Linked DNA regions of Astyanax mexicanus. The protein of the gene in region 1 interacts with the protein of each later gene in a pairwise test. Links are inferred from orthologs where the notes say so. Each region holds a gene or a part of one and is shown in the gene's direction. Other genes may lie near its edges. The genes, in order: pals1a and lin7a.

Evidence for each region.
Region 2: the proteins of pals1a (region 1) and lin7a interact in binary tests that used the Homo sapiens proteins (3 or more experiments, as listed by UniProt). The two-hybrid records come from large-scale screens. The link is inferred for Astyanax mexicanus from reciprocal best matches to the Homo sapiens genes PALS1 and LIN7A.

The regions. Positions count from the first base shown.
Region 1 is NC_064421.1:29,476,816-29,486,067, forward strand, and holds the start of pals1a (protein PALS1), read left to right. Parts: upstream 1-5,231; 5' UTR 5,232-5,362; intron 5,363-5,542; exon of another isoform or gene 5,543-5,626; intron 5,627-9,252. Other genes in the region: gphna (gephyrin a), read left to right, coding at 129-232, 1,530-1,626, 2,117-2,250. UniProt on the Homo sapiens protein: Plays a role in tight junction biogenesis and in the establishment of cell polarity in epithelial cells.
Region 2 is NC_064409.1:24,819,228-24,828,370, forward strand, and holds the start of lin7a (protein lin-7 homolog A), read left to right. Parts: upstream 1-4,917; 5' UTR 4,918-5,013; coding exon 5,014-5,050; intron 5,051-9,143. UniProt on the Homo sapiens protein: Plays a role in establishing and maintaining the asymmetric distribution of channels and receptors at the plasma membrane of polarized cells.

The DNA.
Region 1 (9,252 bases):
TGTACATGTGTGAAAGGGATTTAGGATGATCGACTCCAGTCTATACCCTGATTCACAAGCAACTTGTGTATCACTAATCTTTAGCTTATATTCAGCTCTCTCTTTCTTTCTCTCCTCCTGTATTTCAGGTAACCCTGTGTCCGCTGTCGTCACCTGTAACCTGTTCGTCATTCCTGCGTTAAGAAAGATGCAGGGTATCCTGGACCCACGGCCCACTATCATCAAAGCCAGGGTAAGTAAGACCCTAAGGGCCTGGAAAAAGGTCCCAATTTTTTTTTTTTTTTTTGATTTCCTGCACCTTAATAAACTTTATCAAAAGATGACCTCTTTATGTCAGTGGTAAACTACAACGGTATGTACTCATATATTTTACAGTGGGTTTGAAGTCACAAGGTCACATTTTGAGAAACTTTAATAGCTTTATTCATTACTTGTTTGTTCAGTAATTTTCCCACCATCTCTAAAATGCCACTCAATGCTAAAGGGAGACATGTGAGCATGGCGGGAGTGTTCCTTAATCTTGGTAAAATATACAGCGGTGTGAAAAGGTTTGGCCACCCCTGATGAATTTCATGATTTTCTTTTATGAATTTTTGGTTGTTTATATCAGCAATTTCAGTTAAATATATCATATAGCAGAAGAAAACAGATTTATTTGAGAAGCGAAATTTGAGGAGATCCTTTTTATTTAGTGGATATATATTTAGTAGATCCTACTTTTGCTGAAATAACAGCCTTTAAACGCTCCCTATAGCTTCCAATGAGAGTCTGGTTTCTGGCTGAAGGTATTTTGGATCATTCTTCTTTACAAAACATCTCAAGTTCAGTCAGGTTTGATGGTTTCTGAGCATGAACAGCCCGCTTTAAAATCACACCAAAGATTTTGTATAATATTCAGGTCTGGGGACTCAGATAATCATTCCAGAACGTTGTACTTGTTCCTCTGATTTTAAGCAGTGTTTAGGGTTGTGGGAAGTATCCAACTTTAACTGTCACTGATTCTTGAACACTGACTGGAATCCATGTGACCCTCAACTTTAACAAGATTCCCAGTACCTGCACTGGACATACAGCCCCCCAGTATGATGGAACCACCACCACTCTGGGTAGCAAGTGTTTGTCTTGGAATGCTGTGTCTTTTTTTCCACCATGCATACTGCCCTCCAAATAATTTTGTTTAAAGAATTATTGCACACTTTCTGTAAATCCTATTAACTTTATTTCACTTCTCAGATATCATGGTGTTCATCTGCTACATAACATATTTAACTGAAATTGCTGATCCGAACCACCAATTTATAAAGAAAAATCATTTTAAAATATTCAGTTGTGCCCAAACTTTTAATACCACTGTAATAATATAAAAGTTAAGTTTAGTAAAATAAAAGTTCAGTTCAGCAAGGATGGTGGTTATAGTTTGTTGTTTATCATGGTTTGTACATTTGAATTGCACTCAATTATTTGTTGGCCCGTATTAGACTCTGTTTTTTGTGCTCGGGTTTCATAATAAATTATGTTTTTCTTCATAGCTGTCCTGTGATGTAAAGCTGGACCCCCGTCCGGAGTATCATCGCTGTATATTAACGTGGCATCACCAGGAGCCTCTGCCCTGGGCACAGAGCACAGGTAGGGGAGACTTTACACTAATCAGAATTAATAATCTGGTTACAGTGGCACCTAGATGTGGAACATACACCAATCCTTGTCCACCATATATTTCAGTTGTATATTAGTTAAGTCTGAGGGGTAGTCCTGTATTTGTTTCTCTGCATACTTTATTATTCTCCTTTTTTTACCCTGTTCTTCAATACTTGAGGCCCCATAGGAGAGACTACCACAGAGCAGCTATAATTATTTGGGTGGTGCGTCTTTACACCTTAACACCTCATACACCACCACCATGCTAATCAGTGCTAATCACTGCAGTGCTACGACCCACCACCTTTGGGGTCCTGAGGATTGAAGAACAGGATAAAAGGAAGAGAATAAAAAAGTATACAGAGAACAGATACAGATACAGTGTGTAAAAAGGACTCAAGTCTGAAGAGGAGTCAGTTTGGATGTAATTTATCTTAAAACCGGTTTAACTCGCTCTTTTTTTTCTTCCCTCTCTCAGGAAACCAGATGAGCAGTCGGTTGATGAGCATGCGCAGTGCCAACGGACTTCTAATGCTGCCTCCCAAAACAGAGCAATACGTGGAGCTGCACAAAGGAGAGGTGGTGGACGTGATGGTCATAGGACGGCTATGATGCTGTCTTAGGAGGACCAGTAAGCCCAGAGCGAAGTGGTGCATGTCCACATATCATTTACTACTCTGTAATATGCAACGGCACAGCAAGTTTTTATCGATTTGGATAATGATGATCAAGTATAATCATATAAACATTTTGAAACAAAAACTTCTGAACAAATTTATGAGTATTTCAAGACTTCAAAGACATCCTAGTATTTCAAAGAAAGAAAGATATACCTTTTAAAGAAGATATATATATATATATATATATATATATATATATATATATATATATATAAGAAAGAAAAGAGATTTATTCTGTAATATATTATAATAATATAATGATTAATATAATTATATATATTATCATCATCATATTAAGCAACTCTCCTCTGTCTTTCATCGCAATTGCTTTTGTGTGCTCAGTGCTAGACCTTATAGATAGCAGTAGCATTTTAATAAAGAGCTGTATGCGCCTGTCCAGATTACATCACTGGAAAAGATTTATTTATTTTTTTTTTTTTTGAGGGACAGAACCGCTCGAGATGACAGCAGAGTTTTTTCTCGGTTTCCCGTCTCTATCGGACTCATTCAACACCACTCGGTGCACCGAGGTGACCCAGCTTTTTTCCCTTTAGTATTATACTGTATGCTCCATTGAAGCTTCATTGCACTTCATAAAGGCCTCACAGAACTGCTTTGCTTGTCGTTTATCTCGTGAGTCGTGTTTATGTGCGCGGTGCCAAAGGCCTGGGCCGGGGAGGGAGTGGAGTGTGGTTATGAAACTGAGAGACAAACGTTTGATTAGTTTATCAGTGTGGACTAATGGTTAATTTATAACAGCAGCGCTTTGTAATGGGCATTTAAATCCAGAGTTTAGCTTTTTCTTTTTTTTTAATTAAAGCAGTTAAATGTTGACTAATCGACTAATTAAAAGAATCATTATTAGATTAGTTGACTACCAAAATAATCATCAGCCCTGTTAGCCCTACTGTTCACAAATGACACATCTGTGTCACCCATATAATGTAAAACATTGGATTTGGTCCACATTTACCTGCTGTGTCTAGTAGTAAAATGCACATATGTTAGTGCAGTTTCTGTTATCCTAGCTACTGATTATATGGAAGGTACATGTTCGATTTGTGCTGCTGAAACACATGAAAGAGCTGGAGCGGTCGGTCCGGCAGACTTCCTCGGTCCAAAACATCCATCATAACCATCTCTCTTCATCGCTCCGCCCTTATTACTCCCAACCCTGCCCTATACCCCACCTCTTTAACCAGCCCCACCCACTCCTAGAGGCTGAGGGAGCTGGGACCTTTTATTTCTTTGACTTTAAAAGGACAATACAGCTTATTTAATTGCTGACAGCCTTTTTAACCTAAATAAATAAATATATAATGTACAGTCAAAACATATATACAAACAAACATAGAAAAGACAACGAACACGAGAGTGGTGATGTACAGATGTGTGACCAGCACTCCTTATGGAATATATTGAAGCAATGAGGAGACAAAACTCTGTACTATAATAACTTTTTTTCTGTAATGATATTCAAACTGATGAAATTAAAATCCTTGATCATTCTGTAAAAAACATGTGGTTCAGTTTCTCTTTTTAAAATAAACATTGAAAGATGGCTGAAGTTTCTGACCGTGTTCTGTTTTTCAAATGGAAAGGAGCATTCACAATTTTGAGAACACTTGTGGTCCGAATGACTGTTACTGTAAAAAGCCAGGTAAGTAGAAGGTGAGCCAATCTCCAAAAAGGCAAAATGTTTAAACAAAGATTTCCTTTTTATGTCTTAAGCAAGAGAAGCTTTTTTAGGATATAATTTCCTCAGTTTCAGATATTTATAAAGAAATGACAGTTAACAGGTACAGTAGAGGTAAAGATAAGGTCTGGAAAACCCAGACCATTTTTAGAGGCAGGGTTCAGCTCTCTATTCTAGAAAGGCACAAAAGACCTTCCTGAAGATGGATCAGACTCCTGAATTGTAGTGCAGCACTGTTCCACTGTAAAGGTATGTGGGTTGTCTTTAGTAAGACTGTCCTATTAAAAGTCCTTCTCAGTATCCTGTTAGTCACACCTACGGAACTGTCTAGACTTAGTGGTGACACTGGTTGTGTGCCTTTTCATTTCTTAAGCATTCATATATATATATATATATATATATATATATTTATTTATATTTATATATTTTTTTATTTTTTTATTTATTTGCCCGCCCACTGAATAACATAAAATTTTACTCAGGAATACAGAAGAATTTTCCAGTTTTAGTATTATGGCAAAGTTTAGATAAGAGGGCGTTTTTCATTATGCCCAACACTGTGCAGTTGGTATATATATATATATATATATATATATATATATATATATATATATATATATATATATATATATATATACTTTCTTTTTAAGCCACTAGGAGTGGCATAAAGTTATCCAAAAGCAGTGTGTAAGGCTGGTGGAGGGGAACATGCCAAGATGCATGAAATCTGTGATTAAAAACGAGGGTTATTCCACCAAATATTTATTTCTGATCTTAAAAGCTTATTAATATGATTTTTTTTGTATTATTTGAGGTCTCAAAGCTCTGCGCCTTTTTTGTAAATTTGACCATTTCTCATTTTCTGCAAATAAATGCTCTAAAGGACAATATTTTTATTTGGAATATGGGAGAAATGCTGTCTGCCGTTTATAGAATAAATCAACAAATGTTCTTGATACACAAACATCTACCTATAAATAGCGAAATCAGAGAAACTGGTTCAGAAACTTTTGTTCCAGAGCTGTAATGTTATATATTTATATGTAAGAGACTACTTGAGTTTCTCTGATTTTGCTATTTATAGGTATATGTTTGAGTAAAATGAACAGATTAGTGTTGTAAAACTGTTTAGGCTTTGGAAAAAAATATATGTTCTTGTCTGAACCCGAGGGGGCGCTGCAGAGTCACTTACCGCCCCCTCTCCCCCCTCCCCCCCCTCCCCGTCTCACTTTACCACAACATGTCGCGAGCCCGGGCCGCGGCCGCTCTGCTGCGCTGCTGTATGTGAGGAGCGACTCGGCGGATACGGATTAAAACCGGGAAGTCTCCGCGGATTTTAGCCCGAGAGGTAAAGACCAACTTTCCCCGCTGTTCTTTCAGTCCTCGGCCCGCAGTGTTTAGTGTCTTGGTGCGGCGGCGCGGCTCCGCTCGCGAGCTCTGCGCTCCCTCGCGACAGGTTGCCAGGAGCGGCGCGCGCGGCGGGCGGGGGAGCGCTGTTAGCCTGTTAGCTTGTTAGCCTGTTAGCTAAGCAGCTACTTGTAAACTCTTCAGCGCTTCTAAAGGAGCGGGCGGACTCACGGCGCGCACCGCGCTGTTTTAACACTTCCTTCTGGTAAATATTCCTGTTTCTGAGGGATTACTTGACATTAACGGGGCTGAATTTGTTCTCCGCGAGTCGTTAAACAGTAAAGTGAATAGTTTAGCTTAACCAGCTAATTTAACCCACAGCTGCTCCGTCCCGGGGCTGAGTTTCACCAACACAGCCTCTTCACAACTTCGCGAACTAATTCTTACAAACACTCGTAATTTCGAGTGTTCCCCCCCTAAACCTCCATAGTTAACTAACTAACTAACCCTAGCTAAATTAAACAAAACTTTAATTAGCTGTTTAATGTCTAATCCGACCTTATGCTTATTTACAAGTGTACTCTACTCACAGCACAGCGCCCCCGGCCGATGTAATTTATAAAGGTGTATAAACTACTAGAAACCCAGATATGAGTAAGTTAAACGTTATCCATCAAAAAGTTATTAACTTAAGTAGAAGTTCAAGTGTTCTTTAATTCCCATGAATACTGAAGTATTTCACATGTTTTGTACTTAAGAGCTGCAGCAGGTAGTTTATAGTAAAATGTAGTGCTGAAGTACTGAAAGTAAAAGTACAGTACTGTGTTATATAGATATGAAAGAAAGCAGTGAAAGGGCAGAACGGGAGCAGTATGGTTTTCATATTAGATCAGCTAAATCTCTTGATTCACTCATTGATGAGCAGCAGCTTCATCAAACCCAGTGACAGAGCAGAGCATCTTTCACTCTGGCTTTAGTGATAATGTGAGTTTAAAATGATTTCTAACATTTTTATAATTGTAACGAATAACAATACAGATTATTTTTGTAGTGGACTTGTATAAGACTGAGTGCAGATAAATAAATACATATTCTAAATATACCTTGACACAATTCCTGTTTTAACAATGAGCCATTTACAAAACAAAATACTCTACAATTTTGTTTACCATTACTTTTGCACATGCCACATTATATTTAATTTTCTTAATTTAATGTTAAATTAAGTTATTGAATTATAATTATACTCCATGATGTTCAAGCATGTTTATTTTTGTCTGGATGTAAATTCTCTACATTTTAGAAAATAAAGAAATTTTGCAATTTAACCAAGAGTGCTCTAATACAGTAATAATAAAACAAAATGTTACCAATACAATATCTTAGATTTTCCCCTACTCAACTTTCGCCTTCTGTTTTGAAGTTCTACATATTGCCATAAATTAATTTAAAATAAAAAATGGTTTTGTGGTGAAAATTTATTTTTGGCAAGCTGAAAATGTTCAATGTTGAACTGGAATTAGGCTGAAACGATTAGTTGATATAATTAAGCAATGACTGATAGAATTAAGCAATAATACACTCATGCCTAAGACTGCAGCACAGCAGTGCCAATATTACACATTATAGCAGAACCTTCGAATGTATTGTTGTGATTATACCGCAGTTCCATTATCGCTGTTTATGGAAAGATTTTGAGCTAAAGAGGACGAGAAAATACCATCTGTTTGGTTATAAACACTTAGAGTTAAAATAGTTATATTACTGCTCCATTTGTAGCTGCGCTGTTTGCCTTGTAAGTGCTGCATCGTTGCTAGGTTACCTGCATGTGGCAGAGTAATACATGGAGAGCTTCGGTTACCGTGCATTACCAGCTGATAATGGCACTCAATTTGTTTGGTTCAGTTTGTAGAATGTAAAGGAATGTCCTTGATTTCAAAGATTGTTGTTGATAGAATTTCAAATTCAGAGAAAGTTTGCTTTAGTAGATTTTGTAGTTTTTCCTGTCCATGTTTCCTGAGAGCAGTATTTCCTGAGACCTTTTGACTCACCGCTTCACTGTTCTCCAGTAAGAAATGACATTGTTCTCAGACATCAGGCAGTTTCCTTAGACATGAGCTGAGTTTCACTCAGCCACACCCCAGATACAGGTCTGCAGAAGTCATTAGATGTAAAGTGGATGAAGTCATTGGTTAGGCTGTGTTTTGGCAAGATAGAATACATATCACTTTCCAGGAATTGTGATTGAATAAATTGCAATATAATAGTGATAATGTAAGGAAATATATTGCATTTGTTTTAAAAACTGTCATAGTTAGGAATGTCCCAATCACATTTTTTGTCCTAGAGTAAATCATTTGATTTTGAGTATCTGCCAATACGGAGTCCCGATCCAATAGTATGGCAATGCAGTTATAATAATTGTCTTACAGTGTGGTTTAGGACTGACTAGACTTTTTATTGTATTATAATATCTCAGGGTAGTTTTGATGCTTTTATGGTGTTTTATGATGTTCTGAGTTTAACAGAACTCTGTGGCATGGAGTTCTATAATGTTTTTCTTGGCCCTGTTGAATCAGCTCATTATAAGTTTGAATGTAGGCTATTTGTGACTAGATAATTTAGTATGAATATTGTTCACAAGAGAATATATTTTAATAACAGTGATATTTAAACACATTTTCAGTATTTCAGTATTACTCATCCGAGTGCCACTTTATGACGATAAAGTATATGCCGGTAATCTGACCATCATAACTGGTGACAGATTATCATAACAGATATAATACACACATTATTTTTAACAGCAGGAGTTACTCTAACTAGCACAGTGGTGTCAATCTGTCATCACATTTCTGTGATTAATATAGCTCGGCTAGGTTTAAAAAGCAAGTAGTGTTAACTAGGGACTTACAAACAAACATACACAAATCCAGTGCAGCCCAGTCCTCTCCTTTTATAGATAGATTTATATAAATTTAGTGTTAAAGTTGGGTTATGGGTAGAAAAAAGTGCGTTATATTTCTTATTTACTGTTTCTGTTATCTGATGACAGACCATCTGACATTTTTGTTTCCTCATTCCAGAAGTAATTCACAGCCTATGTTAGTGCTGGGCGATATAACGATATCGATTTGTTTCGCGATAATTTTTCCCTCGATGACGATGATAAGCCTGTGCAATAGAATTCGATAAACATTCATTTCCATTTCCGTCTAAGTGGCGCGGCAAACAACGAAAACACAACGTGTAATCAATCCAGAAGACGCTGGAGCAAATTAATAAATAGTTAAGAAAATTGTAATAGTTATTCTCATGCATGCAACAAAAAACCCTAAAGAATAGTGGAGTATGGCCCGACACACGCAAACAACCATAGTGTTTGGACTTTGGGAATAAACGGCCGCACTGTTCAGCACGTTTTAAATAAATTTTAAGTAAATTTTAAGCACTAAATGTAATTAATTCAATTTATATTAGGACCTCGGGGCAGGTGCTGCAAAAATGTGTATGTGGGGCGCGGATTAAAGGAAGAGGTTTTTTTGCGGAGCGGTAACAGGACAAAAACACCTTAAGAATGATGTCTAAATGACTTTCCTCTAATCTAATATAATTTAACATGGTTTAAGGATATAAAATAATTTCTAAACAAACGAACTTTTTAATATTGAGCTTATGGCCCAAGTGCAAAAACACAAAATCATTTATCATTTAGATTATCTGCCTGAACGCGAGCCCGAACCCGAGCTTGAACGCCAGCCTGACTCAGGCGCTGCATGAACTCGGGCCGGTCGAGAACACCGCTTTCCTCTCAGATTAGGCGGAAGAAAATGGTCTTTTTTTTAATGTAACAAATCACACTGTGATTTTTGTGATATTTCCCCAATTACA
Region 2 (9,143 bases), on another chromosome or scaffold:
AGTGCAGCTCCAGAGTGTGTGCTGTGTGTGGATTTCTGGGTGTTTTCATTGATTGCAGTTCAAACTGTGGGTTTATGATTCAAGCTGGAATCGGACCAGGATTTACATTTTTCGCTTTGGAGCATTTTTCACATCAGAATTGAATTTCTCAAAACCAGTTGTTCGGTCTGCACATCATCTCATCACTTATGCAGATCACAGAAATCATTTCTCTTTCATTTTAAAGAAGCAGCCAATTATTTCATACAACTGTCTGCTGTTTCCCAAATTATCAATTGCTCCTATCATGCAGATCACAATATATTATTTGTTACGCTGCAGAACTGACAGATACAGCTAGCTATTAGTTCACTGCACATGTCCTTACATTCAAATTATTTAAATTAGTTATCAGAGCCTGTAAAGCAGATTTTATATATTTTAATCACTGACAGGGTGCCGAAAATGTTCCAGCTGAGAATGACACAGATGTACTGTATTACATGCACCACAGGACCACCACAGAGCTGGGATTATTGTTTGGGTGGTGGGTCATTATTCTCAGCACTGCAGTGATCAGCTTTGATTATCATGGTGGTGGTGGTGTATGAGGTGTTAGTGTGTGTAGTGCTGGTACAGCAGTGCTGCTGGATTTTTTAAACACCTCAGTGTCACTGCTGGACTGAGAGTAGTCCACCAACCAGCATCTCATGGGCAGCATCCTGTGGGCATTGATGAAGGTCTAGAGGATGACCAACACAAAACGTGCCACAGATGACTTCACATCTACAATGTAGAGAAACTAGTTAAAAGTGTCTAATAGAGTGGACAAAGTGTTTAAATCCCACCGCATATTAAACAACAATCAACTATTATATAACTATAAAGTGCTCCTATATGCACAGTGGAGCTAAAACATAGATTATGGATGTAGAAACAAGTAGTTAGTCACAATGTTATGCTTGATAGGTGTATAATATATACAGTACAAAATAACAATGAATGTAATTCATAAGTCATGTTGCATATTCTGGAATGTAACCTAATGGAACTGGAATAAAGTAAATCATACACCTGGATGTAGCTGGCTTTAACCTGATGAAAATACTGTATTACTGATATTCTTGTCTGTTCTGTGGTACAACAACATGATCTGCCATTTATACAAACAGTAAAATCATAAAGATAAATTATGCATTATGAAATTCCTCACTGAGTATACTGATACATGACCACATGACTAATCATTTTGACTGTCTTGTTCATAATCGATGAATAAATAACTTTTTATTCTGGTGACTGACATGTTCACTTACATGTATACATACGTTTGGGTCATGGGTAAAGGAATTTGATTGCAGTGTGTGCATTTGCTGCTGATAATTTATGTGATGCTGTTTGTACAAGCTGTTCTGAGAAGTGCCCACACTGTGTTGCAAATATTAATTCAGATTTGAGAAATGCACCAAAGTGACTGTATTTGGGCCAAACATGGACTAATGTGTCCTATGGAGAAAACTGTGACACTTGGCCCCAGATATAATAGGCATAAAAATCACCACCAAATTGGTTCCATGACAATGCCTGACCGAGATGGCGACTAGCTCGACCAAAACATGTGGCAGGTCTATGAATCCACCCCTTACACAGGTGCCATTAGACCTAGATCACCAATGCTGTTCATTTCACATGGCATTGATTTTAATGTTACAATCAGTACTGTATAGCAAATTTGTTTATACTGGTTGACCTGACTGGTTGGGCTAAACTGTCAAACCCAGATAAAACAAATAGCTTATACTGGTCAAGAACTATATATAGAGCTTTATTGCCAAATATATTAATTCACCCATTCAAAAAAAAATTTACTTCAGGTGTTCTCATTACCAGCGGCCACTGGACTGTAGAACAGTTGTGACATGTTCTCTGGAGAGACCAATCATGCTAATTTTGTCTGGCTGCATTGTGCCAAGTGTAAAGTTTGGTGGAGGGGGATTAAGGTTTTTTTTCCAGGAGTTGGGCTTGGCCACTTCCAGTGAAAGAGACTCCTCATGTTTCAGCACACCAAGAGACTTTGGAAAATGTCATGCTCCTAACTCTGCAGCAACAGTTTGGGGATGCCCTTTCCTAATCCAACCTGTCTGCACACCAGTGCTCAAAAAAAGTATTTAAAAACATGGATAAGCATGTCTGTTTTGGAAGAACTTGACTGTTTTGACCTCAAACCCAATAGAACACCTTTGGAATGAATTAGAGTGGAGACAAGAGCCAGGCTTTCTCATCCATTATCAGTACCTGGCCTCACAAATGTGTCAAAAAAAACTTATAAACACACTCCCAAACCTTGTGGAAAGCCTTTCCAGAAGAAATAAAAGTGTTATAGCTGCAGAGGGTAAGCTCACATCATTCAAACCTCTATGGGTTAAAAAAGAGCAAATATTTTTGGCAATATATTGTAAGTTAGTCAACCAGTTTAACCAAATTGGTTAAGCTGGCCAGGCTGTTTTAGCAGTCTGCACTGTTTTGGCTGTACATTACATCCAGCAAGTGACCCATGAAGAACTTGTAAATAGCTGGGCTCGTAGATAGCAGCATTTTATCCTCTTCCAGCTTACCTGCAGTGCTCCAGCCCATTAAACCTCAGCTGGATGTCCCAAACAGAACCCTGCTCTGGGGCTGCTGCTGTTCCACTCCATATAAACCCACAGATTACACCAGGACTGCCTGGACAAGAATTGCCAAAACCATCACTCATACTGAACAGGAGCAGTGGACATCCTCAGATCATTAACAGTCAATATAAACCAACAGCCTCACAATAAATGCATCATCCATATATCTCTCTGTCTTACACACCCTCTTTCTTTCTCGTTCTCTTCCTCATCATCCCTATCTCTTTCTCTTTCTTGAGCTCTCTCTCTCATTTATTCACTCTGGATGACTGCATGACATAGGGCCTGTACTTTCTAGTCTAGTACCATTAAATACAGTTTATGAAATTGTGAAGGCACCTGTATGGCACCACATCACATTTAATACACTGGTGGCACTTCTCAATTAGAGGGGCACCTAACTGAGCACATCATCATGTTCTTTCAACTGTAGGAGAACACCATTCATTCACTCTACTGGAAAGGGCACTCTTTGGGACACGTTATAATGGCACCCCTACTACTACTGAAACGGCAGACGGGCACTCACAGATGGCACTCTTTAAGACAAATTATTAACATTTCTTGATCTAACAGCACAGCAACATCATTTATTCTAAGAAGGGGCACCTAATGGGCACTCAATCACTGTTTGTCCCGACTAGATGGGCAGACAATAGGGTTATTTGTCTCCTTTTCCACTTTAGATGGCACTTTAGTGACACTTTTTTACCATGGGGTCACCAAAGGGGCAGTTGCCCACTCTCTTTAATTATTCTGTCTTTTTCTCAACCTTTATCCCACTCATATATATTGTACTTCTGTATTACTGTACTACTGTACCCATTCTCTCTATCATTACATTTATCTCTCATACTACCCCTTCTCTGTCTATACCTCTTTTTCTCATTAACCCCATCTCTTTCTCTTTTACTATTTTATTCTCCCTTTTCTTGTTATCCCCATCTTGTCTCTTCCACCCCTCTCTCTTTTTCTTACTTTCTCCATCTCTTTTACACCTTTACTCTTTTACTCTCTCATACTATATCTATTTTTCTTTCTCTTTATGATCCCCATCTCTCCTTTACCCTTTCTCTCTTAACCTTACAATATTTCTCTCTCCCACTTTCTCTCTTAATCACTATCCTTAATCCACTATTCTCATTAATTCTCTTATTTTTATCTTAATTCTCTATTCTTCATAATCCTTTTCTCACAGCCTCTTTTATTCTCTTTATTCCTATAAACAGTACCTCTCTAATCAATTCTTTCTTCCTATCACTCATCCCTATTTTTCTTTTTCTCTTACTGCCTTTTTCTCATCAACCTTTCTCTCTTTTACTCATAATTGCTATCTCTCTCTCTCTCTCTCTCTCTCTCTATCTATCTCTCTCTCAGTCAACTCTCCCTCTCTCACATAATCTCTCCCTATCTCACACTACCTTTCTGGTGTTCTCTCACTCTCGCACATTCTCACACTATTTTTTCTTTCTCTACACCCCTTTCTTACTATCATTTCATTCTCTTTTATCTTATTACCTCTTTCTCATCGCTTCCCTCTCACTCTATAATCATCATTACTATCGCTCTCTTAACGCTTTCTTCCTATCTCTCATCCTTATTTCTCTCCCTTTCTCTCTCATTCTGCACCCCTCACACTTTCTTGTGTATTCCATTTCACTTATTCCTATCTCTTTCTCATACATCTCTTAATTCCTAACGCACTCTCTCACTAACTCTCCCACTCATCCCCTCTGTCTCTCACTCTTTTTCTGTACCTCCCTGCCTCGCTCTTGTTTTTTTTACTGCTTATTCTCTTTCTTAGTCTCTCTCACTTACTCTCTCCTCCCTATCTCCATCTTTTAACTCTTTATTAATCTCTCTCCCATTCTCTCTCCTCTTCCGTCTATATTTCCCACTGTTTTTGTACACCCGTCTCTCACTATCACTCTCTCTCACTCTGTACCTCTTTTTCCCCTCACCCCTTCCTCACACTATCTCTCTGCTACTTGTTCTCTCCATCACTCTCTCTCTCTATCTTCAGTTAATTCTCACTATCTCTCTCTCATCACTCTCTCTTCAGTTCATTCTTTCTATTTCTCACCTCTCTCTCTTTAGTTCATTCTTCCTATCTCTCTCTCTCTCTCTTCATCTCTCTCTCTTCAGTTCATTCTTCCTTGCTCTCTCTCTCTATAATAACCCCTCTCTTCTCCTACTCTTCCTCTCACTCACTACTCCTCGCTCTGTTTATCCTTCTCTCACTCTCTTCACTCCCCCTCCCATCCCCTTACTCTCTCTCTCTCTCTCTCTCTCTCTCTCTCTCTCTCTCTCTCTCTCTCTCTCTCTCTCTCTCTCTCAGTGTGTGCAGTAATAGAAGGCAGACATGGCGACGGTGGTCCAGCCGCTGACTCTGGAGCGAGGTAAGCGCGCGATGGATCCGCTAGATCCGGGCTCTAATTCGCTTAGATTCGGTTTATTTTATCTCCCGTGTAAACGCTTTAATTCCCGTATAGTTCGTATGAACGGCGTTTTTTATGGAGTGTGTTGCGCCGCGCGCTCCGGCTCGAGCCGCCGTGCTCGCGCTCGCTCGCTCGCTCGGTGTGGTGTGTGTAGTCTATCTGTCAGTAAACCAGGCTGAATTACTCCCACCTGTGCACACACCCGCGCGCGCTTTACTCGCGTGCACGCGCGTCCTTTACTCTCCGCTGTTTCTGTTTACTCCTGTACCTGAAGTTCGGGTCCAAACAATGGAGGGAGGGGGGTACAGGCAGGTGCTTCTGCCGCGCACGAGCTCCCAGACCCCCCTGTCATCATGCGCGAGCTGCGCGTGCACGCAGACGTTGCACAGCATCACTGGAGTAATGATGAGATCTGAGCTCGTGCTTCTGTTTTATGTTTTATGTTGTTTTGCGTACAATTCTCTAAAGGGGCTGCTGACTATGTGTTTCAGTGGAGTATTATGGGATGCGCGCGCGCGCGTGTGTGTTTGTGTGTTTTGTGTGTGTGTGCACTGTGCATGCACTATAGCCCCTAACTGGGAGTTAAGCCAGAATGGGTACGATGGTGTGAGTGTGCTGTGTTTCTGGTTGTACTGGTGTTCCTCAGGCCGATCTCTAATTGCCATAATCTTTAAATGGCCATAATAGTGTGTAGTCAAAATCTTCCACGATTAATTCCGGTCGATATGATATAATTATTATATGAATATGAACAGTAAAAAGCCTCCACCTGTGGTGCTCATCACTCAGTGACACTGCCAGGCTACAGTACTCTGTAGTGTTCTGCCCTTTGTGCTCAGCTTGAATTCAGTGAACTGACAGCAGCTCCCTGTTATGGACATCAGTCAGAGACAGATGTAAAATACTGTATGTCTCTCACAATCCTAGACCAGTATTTTATATTTTGATTTACCTTTATTCAACTAAAAATTATTGATAATTAGTAGAAGACGGTCACACTGATTATGGCTATAGTTCATGCTAATTGTAGTTATTGTAGTGTCCCGGCTAACTGGTGATTCTCATTGTTATTCTGAGCTGGATTATTCACTGATTTGATGGATATCTGATATGTAGATTATATCTGTATGATGCACGGTTGTTCAGTTATGAAGCTTAATAAGTTAATAGGTTATAAGTTTGGGGCTTAATGCGGGCCTCAGACGGGTAAAAATTATTTGACTGTTATTTTATAATAATTCATATAATAATAAATATTGATATTCAATTATTGTCCATTCCTAGTGTATACTGTGTAACTGGTGGTAGTGATGTGGTCAGCAGGCTAGGCTGAGCAAGGCTGGGATATTAATAGAGTAATGGGATAGCACTGGCCCATGGTATAACTGGTATGGCAGTAGCCCTTGCCCTGGTATGAGAGGTATGCTGGGTTATGGTGTTTTAAGGCTGTCTGGGTTAGTGATGGATGGTATAATGTGCTGTTAGCACACACTGAAGTGAGTGGCTCAGTAGGTTAGAGTGCTGCAGCCCTGATTTTATTATACTGCTTTAATGGCCTGTACCCTACATTTCTCTACTTGAGTATTTCTGATCTTTTTATAACATGTACTCAGTCACAATTCACATTTACACAACACACAGACTTTATGTTTATGTGAAGACTTTACACAATTTACTGAATTTAATATAGGGCAAAAATATCAAATATGACACTGAAGCTGTATTATTTTTTTGAAAAAACTGCATAAAGCTAATATAGGCTTTACAATTATACAGTACAGTACACCCCTCACATTTTAGTAGATATTTTCTTATATTTTTTATGGGACAACACTGAAGATATGATATTTTAAAACAATGTAAAGTAGTCAGTGTACAGCTTGTATAACCAGGGCTCTCAAGTTTTAAAGTGGTGGTAGTGTTCGCAGGTCTTCTTCAGTTGTACGAAGTTGTGGATGCGCGCTGTTCTTCTTCAGTTGTACAACGGGGGGAGCTGGGTGGGATTGGTGGATGTGCAAGTGTGGGCAGGTTTGCCGCCGTTCTCCTTCAGTTGTTCACCGAGTGTTTCAGAACTTTTGAATTGGACAGTTCTTCGCACCACCCTCTTTGACTAGGTCTGCCAAACAACAGAGTGATTTTTATTCTGATTGGCTCAACAAGAGTACATTATAATATACAGCCGATGGATTGGTAAGCGTGAGAAATACCATGTGTGGTGTGTGAGCGTGTGAACTCGCTGAGGTGCTCAAAGCGTGAGACTTGAGAACACTGTGTATAACAGTGTAAATTTGCTGTAACTTAATTCAATAGTCTGAACCACTAGAAACAAAAGTGAGTATATCTCTAAGTCAAAATAGCAAAATTGTGCCTAAAGCACCAACATTTTATGTGGCCACCAATATTTCCCAGCACCTCCTTAATCCTCTTGGTCATCGCATTCCTCAGAGCTTCCCAGATCGCCACTGCAATCCTCTTCCACTCCTCCATGACGAAATCATAAATCTAGCCTTTAGAGACCTTGCAATCCTCCACCTTTAATTTAAGGATGCCCCAGATGTGCTCAATTGAGTTTAGGTCTTGAGACATACTTGGCCAGTCCATTACCTTTTTCTTCAGCTTCCTCAGCGAGACAGTTGTCATCTTGGAGTTGTGTTTGAGATTGTTATTGTGTTGGAAATCTGCCATGTGGCCCAGTTTTCAAAGGGAGGAAATCATGCTCTGCTTCAGAATGTCACAGTACATTGAATTCAGCTTTCCAGTGTTGGCAGCACCAGGCCATGCATGTATCCCATGTTCTTGGACTGCTTGTCTTCAGCAAACTGTTTGTTGGCTTTCTTGTGCATCAGCTTTAGAAGAGATGTCCTTCTAGGTCAGTGCCATGCAGACTGAGTTCATGCAGTATATGCCACTTTTTTTAAAGCCAACCTCTGGATATAATGCTGTACATGTGGACTCAACTTCTTTGGTCAACCCTGGGGGGCTTGGGTGGAACCGGTCCTGGAAAACTGCTTTATGACCTTGGCCATCATGCTGTATCTCAGTTTTAGGGTGTTACCAAACGTCTTTTAGCCTACGCTATGAAGTGCCATAATAAATGTCCACGTTTAAATGGCCTGCTGCCCATTTACATCCTTGTAATACTAAGGAGTCACATGATACGAGGAACGGAATATGTGTATTTGGGCACAATTTGCCCATTTTAACTTAGAGGTGTACTCATATTTTTGCCAGTGGTTTAGACAATAATGGATTGTGTTAAGTTTTTTGAGGGTACAGAAAATGTACACTGTTGTATACTGACTAAGTTACATTGTATCAATGTGTCATATCTTCAGTGTTGTCCAATGAAAAGATATAAAACAGTATTTACAAAAATGTGAAAGGTGTACTCACTTTTGTGCGATACTGTATATAAATACATATGTGTTTTTTTCTGGCGTCTTCAGATTGGAAACCAATTTAGTTAGCTGATTTATAGATTGTACAAAGTATGTTTTTACCTGGATGACCAGTTTTTCAACTACCTTGACCATCAAGAGACTATCTGAAACCAGCTGTTTAGGACAGTGTTGTTGCTATTTCTAATGCTACAGGTCCTTTAATAATAAATGTAGATTGCTGTTTCTGAATGTACAGTTTAAAATGAATTATGGTTATTATGTGTAAAGTGTGGCTAGTTTTGAGCATTAGCATCCCAGCGGGGCTAATGGATGCATTAGCGAGGGTCAGAGTTTTGTGTAAATGAAGAGAATGTAAATCAGGGCTGCAGAGGTGCTAATAGGACGGCGCAGGGATGAACAGCACCGTGATTTAGCTTGAATTGAGTTTTAAAAGCTTTTACATGTTTAAACTGATTCTACTTTACTCCAAGTGTAGTCCATTCCATACAGTAATATATGTTCAGTGTCAGAAGGTTAGCTTCTCTAGTTTTACACCGGAGCTACGAGGCTAATGTAGCTAACAAATCTGAGGTACCTTGTGTACAGCAGTCAGCATGATGCTAATTGAGTGTCTAATCACTGAGTATATAAAAACATGGACAGCATAATGTCTT